Lytechinus pictus: one gene and its partner. The protein of the gene in region 1 interacts with the protein of each later gene in a pairwise test. Links are inferred from orthologs where the notes say so. Each region holds a gene or a part of one and is shown in the gene's direction. Other genes may lie near its edges.

The links.
Region 2: the proteins of kinesin heavy chain (region 1) and kinesin light chain interact in binary tests that used the Drosophila melanogaster proteins (3 or more experiments, as listed by UniProt). The link is inferred for Lytechinus pictus from reciprocal best matches to the Drosophila melanogaster genes Khc and Klc.

Annotation. Positions count from the first base shown.
Region 1 is NC_087257.1:3,762,968-3,774,935, reverse strand, and holds the start of kinesin heavy chain, read left to right. Parts: upstream 1-6,722; 5' UTR 6,723-6,786; coding exon 6,787-6,792; intron 6,793-7,692; coding exon 7,693-7,797; intron 7,798-11,968. UniProt on the Drosophila melanogaster protein: Kinesin is a microtubule-associated force-producing protein that may play a role in organelle transport. Milt and Miro form an essential protein complex that links Khc to mitochondria for light chain-independent, anterograde transport of mitochondria.
Region 2 is NC_087251.1:23,867,895-23,879,193, reverse strand, and holds the start of kinesin light chain, read left to right. Parts: upstream 1-6,034; 5' UTR 6,035-6,036; coding exon 6,037-6,261; intron 6,262-10,108; coding exon 10,109-10,178; intron 10,179-11,299. UniProt on the Drosophila melanogaster protein: Kinesin is a microtubule-associated force-producing protein that may play a role in organelle transport. The light chain may function in coupling of cargo to the heavy chain or in the modulation of its ATPase activity.

The DNA of each region.
Region 1 (11,968 bases):
TTTGTGGGGGGGCATGGGCTTTCATAATTTCAACTTGAAATCGTACAATAAAACTTAAAATTTACGGTTAGACAGTGTCAGGTTTAATGTTTTCCTTTTCGAGGCCAACTCAACCACCATGGTTTTTCTTTATTATACAAGTTTTTCCTCCTATTAAACAAGAATGCATTTAAATTTCTTGTTTCATGTACTTTCTCGAAAAATATTGTGTGAAAACACTTAAAATGTCTTTCCCCCGTACCCTTTCAACACTCCTAAAATGCTGCAATCTTTTTTCATCAATGTACATGTACGTGGCTGGGGGGGAGAAATACACAAGGTTTGGGGGCGATTGATTCACCCCGAAACACTCCCCAATCCTTGATCATTATTCCTCAATTACAACTCCTTATAAACTATCATAAACTAAAGTTTGGTTTTGATATTTAGCTAAATTAAATAGTGCTTTATAAAAAGAAGTCTACTCAGGATTATTATCTTGAATAATGTATTGAGTTGTCATAGCAAAACTTCGCAATCATTGTCAGTAATGGTGAATTATAAATTAATAAGATGGTTTGTGCTTGACACGGTAATGAGTCATAGTGAGAAACAATATTGTCTTAAAGGGATGGTCCAGGCTGGAGATATTTATATGAATAGAGTAATATTCACAGAGCAAAATGCTGAAATTTTTTATCCAAATCGGATAACAAATAACGAAGTTATTGAATTTTAAAGATTTGCATTATTCTGGTGAAACAGTTCTAGGCATGTCTTCATGAATATTCATTAGGTGGGCTGATGATGTCATATCTCCACTTGTTCTTTTGTACATTTTATTATATGAAATTAGGTTTTTATCAAAAATTTTCTACCAGGAGCTAAAGCAATTTGATTGACAACTGATTAAGTGCTTTAGTTATTTATTGCCGCAACTCATCACGGAGAGACATCAAATACACATGTATGTAAAAATAAAACAATTATGATTTCATGTAAAAACATAAGAAAAAGGAAAGTGGGTATGTGACATCATCAGCCCAACTAATGAATATTCATGACAATGTGCATATATTCCTCTTTTTAAAAATATTGCTTACCTTTAAAATTCAATAACTTCATTATTTGTTATCTGATTTTGATCAAATTTTCAGTATTTTGCTTTGTGAATTTGACTCTATTTATTCAGATATAAATATTTTCAGCCCGGACAATCCCTTTAAGTATTAAACCCACATGAGCAAGGTCTCATTGCTCTGTACATGCAGGCACAGATCAGAGGGGGGCAGGGGTGGCAAAGGGGAGCTCGCTTCCTTTCTGAGGGCCCCCCCTTTTTTTTTTGCTTGATAACTATATCTTTAGCAAGGAAATGCACCCTGTGAGTGGTGATAACCTTTTAACTGTCAGTAATGGTGAATTATAAATTGTTTTTTATCAAGAGAGGCATTGTGTTTTACATGATAATGAGTCATAATGAGAAAGTTTTGAGTTGAGTAACTTTCATGAATAAAATAACAAGTACTAACTGTTAAATCTAACAAACGATGTTCAAACAAAATACTCAAAAGATTTGAATACTACACAACGCCTTTTCTTGGTGAATCTATATCTCACACACAGTGCAATTAACAATTAATCGAATGACGAGAGCTGTACAGGGGAGGGTGGAATCCCTCTTGCTTAGCCAGGCGGAAATCATCGGATATCGATGGATAGCGCCACCTCCACACTAAACTCAACCAACCAACAACAAGGCCCTCTACATAAATACATGTACATTATACAGTACATTGTACTGTATCAAAAATAGCTGAGACTCCTTGCTTGTTCAGAAATGACACACAATATTAAAGACAACAGCCAAAAAAAAAATTGAATAAATGATTGCAATTAAAATGACTTTGTTTCCCAGATTTCCAGTTATGATTATAGTTTTGAAACACTAAACTTCAATCTAGAGTTAGATTTAGTCTACTGTGGCCCGTATTCTGAAGTCAGGTTTTACTTAGACTCGGGTTTAAAGTTGTGGTTTAAGTATGGGAAGCCAAAAGTATCAAAAATTGTTATTAAGTTGTACATTTCTTATGTTAACTGTGCTCTTTCCTGATTCATCGATGGTGAAGACAATAATCTATATATACTTCCTAGACAATTATGAATGATTTGAGAGCCAAATGAGCTGAAATATGATATCTCTACTGTTAGTGATTTATGTAACAATTGGCTGTCCATACTTAAACCACAACTTTAAACCTGAGTTTAAGTTAAACCCGACTTCAGAATACAGGCCTGTAAGTTTAAGGTAATGAAATATGCAACACCATAAAATGTTGGTGTTATCATCTGTGAACACTGGTACTGGTAGCAGGGTAGAATATAATTTTATCTTGTTTTAGGGGCATGTTTTTCTACATTTGGGTCATTGTGGAAGTTTGGGGGCTATGTCTTTCATTTTAAGGGGTAACAAGCAATTATGCAGTAAAAGCAAATAAAAAATTCTGCCATAGTTAGAATATTAATTTTCTATCAATAATATTTAATGTTTGTGACAGATCTTGGGGCGACTCCAGATATAACGGTCACCAGAAAGCATAAATTTTGGGGCAATTTTAGGGGGGAATTGGGCTGTTATGAGGGCGAAATCACCCATCGCCCGCATGTACATGTATTTCCTACGCTGACTGGTAGTGTAGTTTGAACACCATTGTTTTAGTGCTCAGTGTAGTGAGACAGTTGAACTGAAAGTTCATGTACTTGTGGGATGCAAGCACTCTGTCTGATCAGCTACATGTTGATGAGAATGTGTCATCAATCCCCTAGTGTTTTGGTGACATTCAGTGAAAGCAGGAATGTCAACATGTATAAAGCTGCTATCAAATCTAAGAACCAAAGGCAAGGCAGTCTGTGCACATTAAGGCGATAGAGAGATGTTGAAGTATACCCAGATATTTTTTTACCCTAATTCGCAAATAAACTTTAAAATTAGAAATCTAATGAAACAGAAAATTTTACCAGGATAATTTGGCAAATAAATTGTTAAAATGTTTTTATTTACACAATGATGGCTAAAAAGTTGTAACATGAATTACAATTTATTTATAATTTACTATGGTTTTTACATTCAATTGAACTGCATCAGTTACAAAAGTAACTCAGGAATTTCCATAAAAGTGATGTAATTAAAATGAAAATTTCTAAGCTCAACTCGTGATAAAACAATATTTTCTTTCCGTTTAAAATGCTGAATAATTTCTTCAAATATTTGAACAATGAATGAAGACAAACCAAGAACTTCAAGATAATGGATGCCGGCCGGCCATGCTCAGACATTGCATCATCTATGCATTATAGTACCACTATTCCTGTCGCGTGTGGGTTTTTATTGACACAAGAATTTTACCTGTGGGTACTGAAACTGAGCGAAGCAATTTGGAATCGTGTCTGTTTGCCTCTCCTGTGATAAACTCTATGAAGGCAGGAGAGTCAACTCTATTCTGACAGCGACTACGTGATGAGTGCCATGGAAGCTGGTTCATACTGGCATGATAAATTGCTTAATGCAAGAGTTTGACTCTCCTTATGTTTGCCTGTATTCGTTCAGAATCAATTAGAATGTACGTGTACATTTATGATTAACATAATTTATGAGAAACTGAGAAAGTAGTCACGAATGTTAAGGTGTAGACATGGATGTCCCCAAATAAAGTTGAATGTTTTTTTTTTATAACACTGAAAAGTGATAGAAATGTAGTGATGATGATAGTGATGACGGATGATGATGATTATGATGATGATGTTGATGATGATGATAATATTAAATGATGATCATGATTGTATGAATGATGATGATAGTGTTTTTTTGTTGTTTTTTTCCCTATGATAATTATGAATCATGATGATAATGATTGAACGGGATAATCTCATTGTATAAGGTAATCGCTCCTTAGACAAATGGTTGGGCCTACATATGTATTGTAGAGTAATTAATTAATATTATTATGTTAGGCATATTAGATGCCTGCAATAATTAATTGAGACAAGTGTATTCAGAGCAATATCCAACTCCAAGGCCTACAATAAACGTGCACTGTGTGACCCTTCTCCGGACAACCATTATCCAATGTTTGTTGACTGGATACATCTAACCTCTGCATTTGACATCATTCAATGCTTTAATTGATTGGAATGCTTGATCCACCATTCACACAATGAATACAAACACGAACATGACCTATCAACGAACTCTTTGAATCACCCAGGCTTTGGAAAAAGGAAGCCCCAAGCTCATTTCTTTCTTTCCCTCCAGACAATGTAGTGGGTCAAATTACCCCCCTCCCAGGAGAAATGGAATATGCTATGACTGTACAACATGCATTATGAACTTGAAGTGGCATTAGCATGAACGGGGGTGCAGAAAGGGTGGTTGTTTTACTCATAATTTCTTGTTTATCAGTGGAATGTTTCAAGAAGCTTATCATTTTGGCCTGTTGCATAAACATACCATTTAGTAACTTTGCCATGCAATGGTAACTTGCATGGAATCCTTGATTTTGATTTAAGACTGTTGATCATTGTTGCGAATGATAGTTGCCATTGGATAGCAAAGTTACCATAATTGTACTACAGTATTACGCAAGGGGCCCCCGAGTGATTTTCATTGACTTTCTCATCAAATGGAATTTTTATGCATGTTAGCCCCCCCTTCAGAATTGTTTTACTATAACTAGGCCTATACGTAAACTGCACAGAAGGTGAATGAATCTTTACATTTAAATACGAATTTTGATATTGATCTATGATTTGATAAGTATACAGTACATACATTATAAAGAGTCTTAAGAGACATGATTCATTGGCACACACAATGCATCAGGAGACACATCCACCATTTGGGGATGCTACATGTAAATCCATTTTGCTCCTTGGAATGGCAATTCATTCTATTTTACGATACACCTTGCACTTCTAACGGATACTATTCCTGCACTGGGGGAGAAAATGTGACCGAAATATCCCATAATTCCCTCCCCCAGGTGCCGACTTAGAGGGCCATGATATGAACTTGCTTTGACAGACGTAATTGTAACAGATGCATGACTCATATAGGATTGACAAGGAAGACTACCATACTACTGTATCAATACTAAAAAATATTGCCAGCGCTGTTGGTAGCTCAAAACAGAACATCTGTTCTTAGATGTACATATATAGATAAACTGTGATTTGGCATGCAATGTTACTGTAAAAAAGGTTTACCCAATATTTGGTAAAATGGGAACATGTATGTTTGCTGGGTAAAATGATACCAAATACTTTGTAATTTTTACGCAATGTTGCGTAAAATTTACCCTTAAAAATGCATTTTTCCCAATATGGGGGGAAAAAATTACCCAGCAAAAAAGCATGTTCTCTCTCTTTCCAATACTGTGTAAATTTTACTCAATCTTTTTTAGAGTGTAACATTATTTCAAACACGACATATAAGGGCCTATGTATGCATGGGGGGATTTATTTCTCTCCACACACTTTCATCCTATGCTTGAGAAATTGTTTCAAGAGATTGGAAATTGATGAAAAAATTATAGATTAAAATAAAATTAATCAACCTCCTTCAATTTGCATAAGAAGTAAAATTATACCACACGACACAAACATTCAGAAGAAACCTCATTATCAATTTTTCAGCCGAGAATATCCACAGATAAAATGTACTGCCACATAGAGTAATTCCGCTTTTTTTTGTATTGTTATTAAAGTCACAGAGATTTTTAGAAACTCTGTCAACATGTATCTTCCATATCTTCCATAATGAGACATGAAAACAGGTTGAAATAGCACAAAACAATCCAAGTTGCCTACATGTACATGTAGGTACAAATATAATTAATGTTCATGGTGCACATTGAAATAACTGTGTGTTAAAATCATTTCTAAAGAAAAGTAGCAAATACAAGATTCAATAGATGAAACAGTTTACAAGGTAAATAACAAAGTATAAAGATTGTAAAGTGGATGTACATGTATTTTGCACTCGGTCTACATGTACAAGGAAAGATACATGCTAATGATGCATGCAAATCAGTTCAATACACCTGAACTTGAGTTGAGGCTGTGTTTGCCTCGAATCTGATATGCACCTCATTAGAATGTAATCATTGTATTTATAGGATATCAATGATTGAAGATGTAATGTACATTTACACATGTATGTTGTACTTGTAGACATGAAATAAATTTTGAATTGTCGAAGTATTGATTGCATCATCTATCCGACTATTGAATTGAATGTGATATTGATTTTAAAAGTTGAAATTGTTTGTTTAACACAGAAATTGATCAGGGGAGGCTTTCCAGGAGGCAATTTGTTTTTAACACAGTTGAACAAAATGGGCTTAAAAATCTAAGAGTTAATAACAGCATAATTTTGAAAGGTCTTCTCAAAGTTACTGCACGGACATGTATATTAATTAGAAAGAAAGACTTGTTTTTTCTGAATGCCCCCCCCCCCCTCCAAAAAAGAGAAGCTCCTCTGTCAAAAGGGCAGAGCAAGACATGGTCAATAGGCTACCCCACAAAATCTCCCATATGCAGCAGCTGTGGTGGTGAAGATGATGATGATGATGGTGGTGATGATGATGATGATGATGATGATGATGATGATGAGGATGATGCAATGATAATGATGATAATAGTTATAATAGTAATAATATAATTAAAATATTTTTTTGTCTTACAGATGTTCTGGAAGGGTACAATGGAACCATCTTTGCCTATGGGCAGACATCCAGTGGAAAGACTTTCACCATGGAGGTAAATCATTTATATCTCATTATTTATTCAAAACACAAAATGACTGAATCCGACTGAGATATTGGTGTAATATATTTGCACTTTAATAATGCAGTATATAAATATGGATCATCACGATCGAAAAATCTTTGTAAATATTTTATGAGGATGATATTAGCTTTATGATTAGATTATTTCAAGAATTAGGGGAGGTAAGCTGGAGATAGAGGAAAATGAGAAGGAGGAGGTGTTGATGTAAATAAGAAGGAGAAAAACAAAATTAAATGATTGAAAAGGATTGTTGATGTAATAAAGACAGCAATGATGATGATGACAATATAAATAATGATAGTTATGATTATGATGATGATGGTGATGTCAATAATGATGGTGGTGATGATGGTGGTGGTGGTGGTGGTGATGATGAAGATGATGATGATGATGATGATGATGATTGATGATTGATGATGATGATGATGATGATTATGAAGATGATGGAGTTGGTGGTGATGATGATGGTGATGAGATGACGATGATGATGATGGAGTTGATGTTGATGATGATGACAATGATGATGATAGAGTTGGTGGTGATGAAGGTGATGATGATGATGATGAAGATTATGATGATGATGCTGCTGCTGCTGATGATTATGAAGATGATGGAGTTGGTAGTGATGATGGTGATGAGGATGATGATGATGATGATGATGAAGATGATGGAGTTGGTGGTGATGATGGTGATGATGATGATGATGATGGAGTTGAGTGTGATGATGGTGATGATGATGATGATAGAGTTGGTGGTGATGATGGTGGTGATGATGGTGATGATGATGATGATTATGAAGATGATATGTACCAAAATTGTTGCTTGCAAACATCGCCTCTAACAAATCATTCATGTTTTTTGTATTTGCAGGGTGTTATGGGTAATGCTCAGTATATGGGTATCATCCCTCGTATTGTGCAAGATATCTTCAACCATATTTACCAGATGGATGAGAGCCTGGAGTTCCATATAAAGGTATGTAAAAAATGTTCTAGGACAACTTCATTGAGGGCAATGGCTTTGGAGAACAACTCCCTTGGGGATAGGGAGGTATGCTGGGCTCTGGTGCAATGCAGTAATACTAAAGTAGGGCCCTGACTTTTCAAATAATCGCGCTATTTCTGATCCGGTAGCTCGCTGGATTAATCTCGAGCTTGCAATCCTAATTCAACTGAGTATTACTTGCAAAATAGTGTGCTATTTATGAATTATCCGGCTAATTCGCAGGTGCAGACGCACTCGACATTCGACTCGGGATTATTTCACGGTCAGACCACAATGCATCGATGCCTCGCTCAAGAACGGGTTTCTTGGATATCAAGATTAATCGCGAAGAGGGCTTATCGGGCTAAAATCTCGAGATTGAGCAAACTTTGGCTGTTGCAGCACCGCCTATTGTAACTTTGCCTTTATGAGAACTACCATGGAAACCTTGATTTTCATTGGCTGCTGAGCCCTGTTACCATGGCAGCTACGGTAATGGCAAAGTTACATTGATGGTAATTTTTTTTGTGTAGGAATTCCTGACATGAAAACCCCTACTCTAAATTCTAAGGATTTAAATCTCGTTCGGCTGTGAAAAGTGACCAGTCAAATATATATTTTTTTAAATCTGAAGTATTAACTTTTAAATCTCAAAAGATTTAAAGAGAAATTCCAGTAGTTGCAGTAAACACTGATTTCATGAGAAAGTCTGTAAAACCAGGCTTAATTGTCAGTATATCATCGAGGATCTAGATCTGGTACAGTTACATAAACTGAACTTTGTGAAATCTTGAAATCTACGCTGAAAAATGTTCAGACTGAACTTCCCCAACACAGATAAGCGCACGTGGGACTGTGTATAATTATTGCTTTGAGCGTCGGGCCCGACGCTCTACCCGAATCCTGTGCTTATTTGCTGATTTCTCAGCAATTACACAATTTCTTCCAGAATCCTTTGGCACATGCGTTTTATTTATGCAAACAGACACTTTGGTGGTCATTTCATTGGATTCTGTACGAACTCATTTTGGTATCGTTACCAAAACTAGCATTTACCTTTAAATCTAAATCTGTTAGCTTTATATTTAAATGCACAAGGATCAGATCTTAATCTAGTGTTTAGCTGGTCACTATTTACAGCCAATCCAGATTTATTTTAAATCCTTGGAATTTTTAGTGCAATTGGACATGTGCATGTTGTCACCTTAGCCCGATGAATACATTTAATAATGAGGTATAGGAGACACTAGGTGGTTTCAGACCGCCTCGAAGTTCGTCAGTTCCAGGTATTCTCTGATGGGGAAATTTACCCCGATCAGAAAATACCAGGTATTTTGGTAATGTGAAAGCAAACTACGCGTAATTTCCCCGAAAGAAAATACCCGCTAAATAGTAGGTACTTGGCGAAATTACGAGAACTTTCGCGGGGATTTTTCCAAGGTCGCAGGTATTTTGGCAATGTGAAAGCAATTTACGGGAACTTTTAGCCCAGCGTGTCGTTGGGCGCGGGCGCCGTGGGTGGCTGCTGGGCTAGTGGTTTTGAATCTCGCGCCTTGCCTGCTTATTAGACCATACTGCGCATGCTCCTAACTTCAGGAATTTATCCCGAAGGGTATGTTTCAGGAATAATTAATAGGTATTTTTTAGCCTAATAATGTTCTCGTAATTTAACGGGGATTCTTGTGATCAAGGCGGGATATTGAACTAGACCTTTTCAGTGAAGATTATTTGATATAATTCAGAGTGCTACATAACTTTTTAGAAGCACTTGCCCAGTTAGGCAAGTAAATTTTTTAATACTTGCCCAAAAATCTATTTCACTTGCCAGAAAAAATCATTGAAAAAAAAGTGTTACCCCTCCAAAAGAAAGTTTTGCGGTTTTATAAACCATTGACCTTTTTCTCTCTTTTGGCATGAACTGATCTACCTTATTATTGCATTTCTTTGTCCAAAGTGATTTTATCTTGCCTGCCATGACAGAAATTAGGGTCAATATATCATATCGACCCTAATTTTGGCCATTTTCTGTGAGAATTTTGCTTGCCCAATTCGGGCAAGTAGTTTTGGTCTTTACTACAAAACTTTTGCCTCTTAACTCTAACTTTTACTTGCCCCGGGCAATCAGGCAAGTGCTTATGTAGCACCCTGTAATTATAATTGGTATGAAGTTTGAATTTGATCGATATCATTGTGATGTCTGCAGGGCAGGGAATAATTTTTATTTTTTAGGGGCTATTTTTCTTTTCTACATTGAGGCCAGTGCAAAATATATATTTTTTTTTTTGGGGGGGGCTCTTTCATTTGAAAGGCTACTTTTTAGGGGTAAAAAGATAATTGTGCAGTAAAAGCAAATATTACTCTTCTGCCACAGTTAGATAATTGAATTTTGTGAATCTTGAATATTGTTTGGAACAGATCTTGGGGTAACTCTAAAAAGAATGGTTGCCCCAGAGCATGCATTTTGGGGGAATTTTAGGGGCAATTTGGGCTATCAGGTTGAAATCGCCCGTCGTCCATATGTATTTCCTTTGCTGGATGACTGACAAATATATAACCTGTAGATTGTAGGAAGAGTTGTTAATGGTCAATAATTCAATATCTGGTTCATCAAACCCTAAGCTTCCTGAAAATCCACCCCCTAATACTTCTTAATGAATCAGATCCTGCCCCCAAATTATTGTCGAGACAGGTGTCGCGGTTACATTCCATTCCCCTTGTTTCTCTGTTGATTTCGTGAAACTACTGCATATCATCTGAACTTCAACTTCATGTCGGATGTCTATTACCCGGGGAGGGGGGGGGGGCAGTCAAATGTATTGCTGTACACACGCGTGGCCAAATTATTTCCAAACACCCCCTGAATGAGTTTTTCTCTGTGTGCAAAATAACCCCCTAAACAAGTTTTTCGCGGGCTTTATTTACACATTTTGGCCCCTAAACACGTTTTTCTAGTCTTAAAAAAAAAAGCTTCAGAAAAAAAACATACCCTAAATACGTTTGACCCTGCGGTTGACCATTGACTAGCCTTTCAAAACGATCCCCTTTTTTTGAAAATCAATGTTTTTGATACCCTTAACGAGTGCACGCGCGACCCGTGTCCAAAACTGAAAAAAACACCCCTTTAAACGCGTTTTTGGGGTCACGCGTGTGTACAGCAATATATTTGACTGCCCCCCCCCCCTCCCCCCCGGGTTTATTACCCATACTGCCCCTTCACTCTGGAATATCATCCGCATTATGAAAGAACTCTCCTGCTTCAAAGTTAAATCCACCGTAAAAGCTACTTGTTCAAAAAGTATTTTAACGAGTTCTTTCTTTCCTAAAAAATAGTGATGCATTTGATCTGGCAATAGAATGCCAAGTCCTCCCCAAGAAAAATTTAATGAAGATAAATTGAGAGATGTCAATCAAACTTAACACTGAATTGCTGCCAATTACTTCAAAAATTGAACATAATAAGAAATGTCTTATAGATGCAAGGCAAGGATGTCGCTTTTCAGACTAATGTCTGAATTCAGTTATTTTCAGCATATTTGCTGCCTTTATACATGTAGAAAACATCTTTTTCATGTGGGAAAGGGGTCATTGTAGATGATTTTCAGAGTTTTTAATCGATTCTGTGGCATTGTTGTATTTTACATCTGATTTGTATGAAAATTATTACCCTATAATTGTTAGGTACATGTATGTCTCTTTATTTAAATTCACTTTACCAGTATTCAAAGAACATTGGAAGTGGACTTGGCCTCTAATATGTATCCAAAAGTGCCACTTTCCCTTCAAGAACTTTTTCCTGTCCATCCTAAAATAAAATCCTATTGGGAGTTTATTGGCTTTTGTGATGTTCTCTCTTTTTTCCTTGAGACACCACTGCATGTTTGCCCAGGTTGTTTCTTTGAAAAATGTTCATAGTTCATTTATTTCTTCCTTTCACAAAAAACATTCATACATGGTAGTTAAAAAAATAATAAAAACAAGATAAAACAATGGATTGTCAATGTTAAAGATACATTGAAGTTGTTACATAAATCATGTCATTTACATTACAGAGTAGAATTCTGGACACAAAAGTTACACAAAAAATTACATTTCTAAAGAAAGAGGAGACCTTAAAAAAGCTACACCAACAAGGTCCCCAATTAGGATACGATAGGTGTATAGA
Region 2 (11,299 bases), on another chromosome or scaffold:
GATAACAAGTAATTTCCATGCAGGTTTATATTTTCCTAAAAGAAAAGCCCTAAGAAGTTGTCATATTTGATTCATTGTGCAATTTACATATCTTTCGTGATGATGATGAGTTTATATATATATACATGTATATGCCTATCCTTGTATCAGGTGTCAACTTACATTTGACTTATTTCAGAGTCAATCTCTATTGTAACATCTACCCCTGAAGACAAGTAACCTTTAAAATCTGCTCGAAAGTACAACCTCAACCCTCCGTAATTCCCTCTCACAAAAAGTGAGCTAGAATCGAATATTAGGAGAAAAAAAAGCACCCAGAGAAATTGCGTGAACATGTCGAGAGAAAGGGCTCTTCTTTCTTCAATGAAGATGGCAGTACTATTGAAAGAGACAAGTAGTGCTCCACACAAATTACCATGCAGCCCTCTAGATGTGCCCACATAATCAGGCCTATATGCCTCTGGCTAACTCGTAGAAATTTGCAAGTGAAAATTTCTCTTCCCACTGCTGTGTGTGAAAGTGTAATGGAATGGGCAGTGTGCAATGCTCACTTTGATAAAGTTCTGTTCTAAGCTATCATTTCATGTTTGAAATATAAAGTGCAGTGTTGGAATCAAATACAGAATCATAAAAAATAGTTGTTTATTCATGTATATCTAATTAATTTATCCAAAGCTGTTGTATAATTTTTAATTTCAAGCTCATAATGTATACATGTAAGGTCAATAAATTGCTTATGGTGTGTCGTTGTTTTACAAATAACTTTATTTGTGAATTTTCAGAGAGATATGTGTTTTCATTCATAAGCTATGAATATGTCTATGCACATTTTGTGTGTTATTCTTTGAGAACCTCTTTTATACCGAGGCCCCTGCCCCTGGGGACTGAGAAACATGGATTATATATACCCACAAGCCCTCTTTCACATTTGCAAGTAAATGAGAAAAATGTCTTGCTCCCTACATCCGAACATTATTGTTGTTTCGCTCAATTAACTTTACAATGATTGATTTTGCTCTACTCTTCTTTGGCTTCAAGCATGTAGGCCTAAAGCCTATTGATGAAAGTTTTAAAATATATAACTCTCTTGTTTTTAATCAAAATTTGTTGAAAAAAATCATAGTCCTGTACCTCAATATTTTGCTTTCTGAATTAAAAACAGAATATTTATTCCAGGATGAGTTTTACCTGGAAGTCTCAGTTTACTCATTTATTCATTAATTACTATTATTATTATTATTATTATTTTTTTTTTTGGGGGGGGGGTTCAAGATGGTTGAAAGTTTGGACTTAATATTTTATAATGAAATTGAAATGAATTATTGAGTCAGCATATAAGATTTACAGGGATTCAGAAATAAAAGCTTGACTTGAAGTCCTTAAAAATGTTTCAAGTTGATATTTATTATTGTATTTTCTATTATTTGATATAATTTTGAATTCTCTGTCACAGAATATAAACAGAATTCAGGTTCTTTCTATCAACTGTGTGGGAAGGTTGATTGGTTGGTAGATCTATAGACAGCTCATTCATTTAATGTGACAACCTTGAGCAATACCCCTCAGTCCTTGTTAGCTTTCCAGGTAATGAGATACCAAACCAAGTTCATTCTAACCCCATGTTCAGGTGCACAAAACATCTCTAGAGTGATATCCAATGACCATGGTAATGTAGGCATATCCATATAAAGCACTTAAAAACGTTCTGATGTTAAGCGCTATTTAAAAGCAAATGGTACATACATGGTAGCTTCATAATGGATTCCTGTGTTTGCACATGGATGGTTTGACTGTGAACACAGACTTACGATAAACTTGTCAGAGAATAGTTTTGCATGGTTGTTTGAACACATGATTATAGAACATTAATTCATCTTGATAAGGTCCAACAGCCAACAGTTACAACATGTGCATTGGAAAACTTCTCATCTGACATTGATCTAAGCGGTTGATATGTGTCTGAACGGTTCCTAAACTATGCTAAAGTCTTGTATGACGTTTCGTTGCCAAGTTCCAATGTAAATGTATTGATGTCTGAACAGGCTTCATTTAGAACCTCCTTGTGCAGCATGTTCATCACTCATTCATAGAGAACCTGTTGGCAAGGAGACAGGCGGTTGGTTTCAGGATAAGTTACCCTGACTAAAAACCCCCGAAACTGTCAACCATAGCTCACTGAAAAACCAGACACATTCATTACACTAAAAGCTTTCAATATGGCGCAGCTCACATGGATGTGTACATTCATGCCTCAGTCAGACTAGTGGAACCTGCTCCAGAATGAATGGCCCTTGTATGTTAAAGGACAAGTCCACCCCCAAAAAAAGTTGATTTGAATAAAGAGGGGGAAATCCAACAAGCATAACACTGAACATATGATCAAATGTAAAATAAAGATATGACTTTTTAAAGTGTAGCTTAATTTCACAAAACAGTTATATGCACATCCTACATGTAGTCGGTATGCAAATGAGGAGACTGATGACGTCATCCACTCACTATTTCTTTTGTATTTTATTAAATGAAATACAAAATATTCTAATTTTCTGCTCGTTGGCAAGTGAAACAATGATCCCCAATGAACATGTGGAACTAGCATTGTTTAATACTATATGGTTCAGTCAAGTTTTGTCAATTTTGTAAAGAATGAAATATTGTATAATTCAAACAATCAAAACAAGAAATAGTGAGGGAGGGACATCATCGACTGTCTCATTTGCATGTCACTGAGTTGTGAAAAATAAGCGAAACTTTAAGATGTCATAACTCTCTTATTTTACATCCGATTCTGCTGAAATTTTCATTGTTATTCTTGTTTGATTTTTCTCAATTGATTCAAATCAATATTTTTCTGGGATGGACTTGACCTTTAAGTTTGAATAATGTAGTATCTGTCAGTATGAAGTTGGTTTAATCATTGATGTGACTGTTGCATTGAACTGTGCTTTGGGGAATGGATATCTCCCCTCTCTCTATTTGATTGATTCTTGAATTGGCCACTATTTTGAGAACTGTGCTACTTCTTTTTACCTTTAAATATGACATTTAGTTACAGTTCATGAGAATAAATTGTATACAAAACTGTAAATGAAATAATGTATCTTTGAAAATTTTATATTTGCTGTAAATTTGTTAATTATCGAAAATTAAAATGAATTTAAAAGCAATATTTGCAGAGAGTCATGTGTGCTCTGAGACAAGAGACATTACTGGAAGACTTCAGCTATCAAGATCGCTCAGTCTCCTTTGCAGTGGACATGCATCTTTAACCTATGAAATTCATCCCAAATTTACAAGTTGAAGTATTTTGAAGCTCCAACAACCTGAAATTTTCTTTAAATAACTCAGGACTGCCCCTTTCATCAATGTCACAACAAGTACACCACCATTTATTATTTTTCCTTTTCATCTTTCCTAATTTTCTGCTATCTCCTCCGTCACTCAGTCTGTTCTCTTAAATCCTTTAGCAATATTCACTCTTGTATTGAGTAAACTGTAATTGGGAATAAGACACCGTTCTCATTACACTTTGTAAAACTTTTTCAAGAAACCAGTTTGGAAGATCGCTTTGCTAGCATTCCCACTTGATCGCACGAAAGTGATTTTCAAAATCACTTCACGTAAAAGCAATCTTGTTGCTATGGAAAAGCTCAGTGGGGTGACACGTTTCGTGCAAAATTCGAAATTGCAGCATAGGCATTCTACACCTGTCATGTGGAGTAGCACGCTCAAAATGTGCGAAGATCGCTTCCCGAAGAACGGTTGTGTCCTCACTTACGCTAAAACCAGTTTAATGAGGCAAAGCGATCTTGAAAACTACATCGCGAGGTGGTTTTCTGAACCGGTTTGGAAGATCGCTTGCAAGATTGCTTCGACCGTTCTCACTTCACGTTAAACTAGTTTCCAGTAAAATAGTTTTAGGAAGGTAGTGAGAACAGTGTCTAAATGTCACCACATCTCTTTTGCCATGAGACTGTTTCTAAGCTGGATGCTGGCTGGCTTGGTGTGAATATCTAATATAAGCAAATATCTGAAGATGGTTAGTATGCAGCATGGGAATGATACCTGTGAATGTCATACGAGTATAAGCTCATCATTAATGAGCTTTAAAATAGCCTCATGCCCTTAGGGAAATCGAAGAAAGGGCTTTGTATATATAGTAATTGCTTTAGAAGGAATTCATATTGTCTGGTTTTGTTGAAGTCCCATTTATATACATGTATGCACTGCATTGTATCAGAGAAGATGATCTGATGATCTCCCAGACATGATTTGATGCATAATTCATGGATTGAATGCAACCATGACACGATATATGCATAATTCATGGATTGAATGCATTTTTTGATATATGCTGAAATACTTGATTTGACTGCATCCACATGTCTTTAATTATATTCATTAATAGACATTTAACTGATATAATTTAATGTAAAATAAGTTTGATTTACATGTATGTGACGTTAACAGGATCTGTGGTCTACATGTACCTGTATGCCTGTTGAAATGTTGTCCATGTACCTAAACTTTGGATGAGAGTTAGCAAATATTAATCTAATCAAATTGTATATATAAGTATATGGTTAAAAGAATATATTAATTCAAGAATCAAAATTAAAGTCTGTTAAAATTGAAGAGGTAATCAGGCTGATCGAATGATTACCAATTACACTCCAGGGTGTGCCAGGTTGCCCCAAAGATGTACCCTTTACCTCCTTGGCATTACTATAGGAAAAACCTCTACAATCTCTCTCTCCTTGGGATCTAGTTTTTCTTTTCCGTGAATGAGGTTAATTATTCACATCATTATCATGATGGTCTTAGTGCTTCTCTATCATACTTCCAATGGTCTCTTGCCCGAAGGGTTTTCTGTATCTTGAGGCGCTGCAATCATGTACAAGACAAACTCTGCAGTAACCCTTGCTATTGGAGAGGATAAACAGCATGCTCCTGGAGTTTGCCTTTCTATTATTCCCTGTTTGCATTTATGAAGAAACGGAAGAGAAGTGGGATGGAGAATGGAGAGAAACTGCGTAATATGTGCGATTCAGACAAGTGTTTAAGATTGAAGAAGGAAGGGAGTAATGGAGATATGCAGAGAGGGAGTGGGTTGAGATAGTTGGGGGATGGGGGGGGGGGGGAGTGGAGAGGGTGGGAGAGACATGTGGGAGAGGAAAAGCCAGAAGGACTGAAAAAGATGGAGCATGGAAAGGAGCATATTGTACATCAGTAAAATATTCATGTACATTTGTCGGCCGACCTTTGCATGTACGTGCAGACCAACTGCATAAAATTTGCGATTCGGATAAGTTTTTAAAGATATTGAAGAAGGATAGAAGAAATAGAGATATACAAAGAGATATACACGAAAGAATGATATTTTTAATGTATCTTCAATTTATTCTCTCCCATTGAATATCTCATATGCACATTGATACCATACACAGACCTGCCAACCAGTACGTTTTAGCCGTATTTATTACGTTGTTGTTTTTTTTTTTTTTTTACTAAATCGTAATTTATTGAGAAAAATAATCTCCATATGTCTCTATTTCATAAAACGTACACAAATATGGTTATTAGATCAATGTAATTTCAGGTAACTTTGTTTTTTTTTCAATCATTTTGTTAAAACCAGGGTGAAGATATACACATGTTTTAATGTTTTTTTTTTCATCTGCAAGAGCAGTGCGCATTTTAGCATGCATGCAGCTTGAGCGCCGCGATGAGCGAGTGCGCCAAGCATTTTATTATGAAATACACATTTTTTGGGAAAAATACAGTTTTTTTAATCACAGAATACAGTTTTTCATTCCCAGAGGTTGGCAGGTCTGCATATTTATCTCACACGGTAAAAATACTGATTTTTTGTCAAAATACTGATTTTGGGGGATAAGAATACTGAAAATGCAAAATAAAACTTGGCAGCTCTGCATACATGGGATTCCAAACTGTCATTTCCTCTGTGCATGTGTTTCCTTCAGTCATGCCTGTTTCCTTCACATTGTTTTTCTGCTTTCCTTTATACAGGTTATGATGGCATTAGGTCACCATCTCAACATGGTGGAGGCCGAGAAACAGAAGTTACGAGCTCAGGTTCGGAGGTTAGTCCAGGAGAATACGTGGTTGAGAGATGAGCTTGCTGCCACGCAACAGAAACTACAGACCAGCGAACAGAACCTGGCTGACCTGGAGGTCAAATACAAACACCTAGAGTACATGAACTCCATCAAGAAGTTTGACGAGGATCGAACACCAGATGTAAGTTTTGTTTTGTCTGCAATCGTTTGCATGATGGTACTCGGGGCAAGATATAATTGAAATAAACAGAATTTGGTTTTCATTACAATATTCAATGCTCTTCATACTTACATGTACATGCCTTTGACATACATGTGGAAATTTAGCATTGGATATTTTTTTACCTGAAAATAAAAAGTATGATGCATTCTAAATACAAAATAGCTAGAAAGATGAAAATTTTAATGCATTACATTTACCATACTAGTTTTAAGGAACAACACATGATCATTTTTTGTTTTTCAGAAAAACAAATATTGTTCTTAGTTTTAAAAATTAGTTATAGCACAATAACTAATTTTAAAAACTAAGAACAATATTATGACATATTAACACAGATTATATACATTCTTTGTGAAGATGATAATCTAAGGAGGGTACCATAGTAAAAGTTAGTTGTAATCTTGATAAAAAATTGTTTCTAAAGATACAAGATTGGTATTAAAAAAGTTCAAATGTGTTTTTAAGTCTCAGGAGTGAGCACTGAATAATTTGAACTTAGTGGTAATGTTACATTAAGTCAAAGCTTGATTGCTGTTCCAAACTGTGGTTCTTTGTGAAAGCTGAAAACTTAAGTCAATATGAATATTCCCTGATTCAATGATAGTATTGCAAATCAGTCTGAACAATTCTCAGGGTTTCTATTTGCCCAAGAGCTTAACATTGTGAGAAAACAAAAAACCTCAGACTTGTATTACAAAAGTACTATTCACAATAACCTGTATCTGTAAGTGTTTGTATTTGTGACTGTGATGTCATATTCAAATATTTTCTTCAAACCCTGAAATAATCTTTACATGGTTGTATTTTTTCAAATTCAAATTCAATTTGAAAAATTACACACCTGAATTCATGTATAATTACATTCAATAATAGAAATGAAAATTATTTTATAAAAAATACTATGAGAGAATATAGTTGTAGACCATAAGAATATGTGAGTATGTGCGGAAATGGGGGGGGGGGGGGTTCACCCCAAAGCATAGCTTGTATTATGTGACCCCCCCAACTAAAAAAGACAACATTGCTGGTATTTGCCTACAAAAAATTACTAATATCAATGAACAAGAACAAATAAAACGGAACAAAGACAAAATTAAACACAAAACAAAACGAAAACAAAAAACAGGACACAAGAAAACTGCTGGATAAATGAAATCTTTGAAGAAGGTGGCGAAACAGCCAAGTCATGGCCGAAAAAAGACTTAAGCATTAAGCACCAAACAGAGTGAAAAAATAGAATGGGCAGAATTACATGTAGTTTTGAAGACCTCTGTAAGTCTAAGTAAAAATTGTCAGTTTTCAGAATGTATGAGAGGGCTGTTTTTATTGTTTACCATTAAAGAGAGTTACAAAACCTAGAACTATCATATATAAATTGTACTCTTTGCTGAAATATGGTAAGTGCAATTAATTGTCTCATTGGGTAGTCTTCATATGGCTGATGAAAGGGAAACATTTCAAATCCATGTCCTAAATAAAATAAGTACAGGTTGCTTTCAATTTGTGTAGAAATCCAAGTGTAACAATTATTTTTTTAATTATTATTTTATTTGATGATGCTCACATTTGATTTGTGTAGTGTTATTACATGTTTATTTAATAATAGGATAGGGTTTAAAGTGAGGCAAAAAACAGTCGTAAAATTTGTCAACAACAATCCTGAATTTCTCAATTTAGATTCTCATGTTAACAAATACATAAGGTTGTAGTAATCATGCAGGGTATATTAAAACTTCTACATCAAGAATGTGTCGACAGCAGAGGCTCTCAAATTTCAATGTACATGTAGAAAAAAATGATGAATTTATATGCAGAGCATGTTGCTATCTCCATTATAACATGTCAGGGATAAAGCAAATGGTATGAAATTGAAATTCTGGGAAATAATTGGATTCTCTATTCATGTAATTATTGCAAGGATCAGTATCAGCCTTGCATGAGAAATTGGAATAATGCATAATATGGATTTGGATTAAGCTGGAGGGAGAGGGGAATATGGGATTTAAATGTCAACCAATGGATGCTTCAAGAAAAAAAAGTATGTGGAAATGTCATGGACCAATACCATTCAGGACATGAAAGATTGCGAAATGACATTGGAGGAAGTTTATCCTTTAGACTATTGTTGCGACATTGATGGGGAAAGTGAAGTGAACACGACAGCAGTGATTCACTTAACCCATACAAATGCCATTAGCTCCGCCCCCCCCCCCATTTCTTTTTCCTGGCAAAAGACACAAAAAATAAGGGAAAATTATTTTCAAGTACTGACAGTGTATGTGGATTTATGGAGAAGAAAATTACTCTGTTTTCTTGCTTACCTCATTTATCATAATTTACAAGGTTCTGTGTTTTGCCTTGGTCTGGATTGTAGCTTCGATGTTGGGTGTGCTGTGTTGCAAGCCTGATATCATTATGAATTCATCAGAGAATTCTGATTGTGTTCAAGGCTTTGGAGTAAATTGAATCTGGACAGAGATCTCTCTGATTAATTATGCTATCATACCCAATGACATGTTTTGTAACATACAACATATTTTATTCCTACCATTTTGTTTTCCTTTATATTTTTTTTTGAATAAATAAAAAAATTTAGATTTATGCTCATAAAATGTAATGTTTTCAATTGGTGATTATCACTATTAATGATTTAATTTTCATGAATTCAGAATATTATCTTCAATTTAATTTAATGAATCTTGTAAAAGCCAACTTGTAAGAAATTACAATTTTAAGTCTTTGATTAAGAAGTAAATTAGAATGGAGGAAGTACTGAACCTTGAAACCTTTCTCTGTAAGCATTCTGTCTCTAGGATAATATCCCAATTTTCCGGTCGATCACGTACAAACGTTGATCTTATGCGAGATATTTATCCTGCCCTCCAAGTTCTGACGAAATCTATGTTTGCATGGGTTTGGCATTACACTTGTACACACGTTTACACTTTCACTTACTTCATTCTCATGGTACCCTCAATTACTCCAGCTATCTTACTGCATGATATACTGGACATATAAGATTAGTATCCACTTTACTTGAGATGATAATATCTATTCTTTATTGACAATGTAACGGCAATGGAAAGGTGAAACAAATGCAGCAAAAAAAACGATGACTAGTATTTTATGAATAAAAGTGACTCTAATGGCTCCATACATCGCTCCATACAATTCATCTGATTAAGTACATTTCCCCATGATCCCGTCATACATAACATTGGCAATTGACTGATCATAGAATTTACATACTTACTAAATGGATTCTTCTGAATGCAGTCCAAAGACTCTGTATTCAGCTACCAAAATTCATTTCAAAGGTTCCATGCCATTTGATCCTGGTACATATGAAAAAAAAATTGCACATTACATCAAACATAGAATGTGACATAAAATATAATCCTTAATCATATTGATTATCTATTTTTTCTGAGCCAGAGCATATTACAGCCCTATCACTACAGTGTTCATCTTCAGACTCAAGGGTCATTGAGGCACAATAAATGGTCACTGCATAGAGCATGTTCTACCATCATATTGAAATATATTCTTCTTAGGTAATTAAATGAATTGATAAGTCTTGAAAAGGACATGCTACTGAATAAATCTAAGGGAATTTTCAAGAAATGAAACTATCACCACGAGGACATACTTGAATAATATCCATTGTATCAGGTATTTAATGCATATTCTCATTCCCATGTGCTTGTAAATGTTACCAGATAGCTTGTGAATTATTTGTGTATGTTTATCTACATTATTGGTGTCTAGAATTATCATCATATTCTATGTTGTATAATTGATGCAGGCGGAGGACACATCGTCAGATCCCTTAGATCTAGGTTTCCCAGAAGATGATGATGGGTCTCAAGCAGATGGTAAGATCTTAATGCAATACTAACTGACTGTCTCATGTAGGATTGTCTCTTTGAGTTGCCTTCCCCACATGCTCTTTCTCTATCTCTGTCTCTTACCCTCTTTCCTTATTGATGTTGATGTTAGTTTAGAGTTAGTGTCCCTAGTTCTTGGTTTCCTAGAACATGAAGGTCGTGCAAACGCATTCCACTGTCATTATTGTGGGAGTGCCTCTGAATGTAGTCTTGGAGATGATTAGCGCTCCATATGATATTCCTTGTGGTGACCTCTCTACCGTCACTAGTTTGTTCCTGCCTGTACAAAAGACAACCGCCTCAATCATAAGAATCCCCGTTAAATTACGAGGACTTTTTTAGACTAATAAATATCCATTATTCCTGCATTCACACCACCCTGAAACATACCCTTCGGGATAAGTTCCTGAAGTTACGAGCATGCGCAGTATAGTCTGATAAGCAAGTGAGGCATGAGATTCAAAATCACTAGCTCATCAGCCACCCAAGGCGCCCGCGCCCATCTACACTGGGCTTAAAGTTCCCGTAAATTGCTTTTGCATTGCCAAAATACTTGTGACCTTGGAAAAATCTCAGCGAAAGTTCTCGTAATTTTGACAAGTACATAATATTTAGTGAGTATTTTCTTTCGGGGAGAATACACGTAATTTGCTTTCACATTGCCAATATTACCTGGTATTTTCTGATTGGTGTAAATTTCCTGATCAGAAAATACCTGGAACTTACGAACTTGAGGCGTTCTGAAACCACCTAATGTCCTAAGACCTTGGTTTCCTAGAAAACAATGATCACACAATCATGATCTCTGTAGGGACAGTATCTCTAAGATATTCTAGCACATGGTAGCCTCATACACTGATGATTCTAGCAAACTTCCCACTGCCCATAGAACATGTTACTATCTAAATTCTGAATACCTGCAAGAAGTTTTACAGTATCTGGTTCCCCAATATATCAGCTTGTGAATTATTTCAAATTTATATTTTTGTGACATATGCTGTGACCAAATCAGATGAAATTAGACACACCAATCAAATGATCTTGGTCATGTGAACAGATTACCATGGTAATGAAAACACATCAGGTGTATGAGAAGGAGTACTCATCAA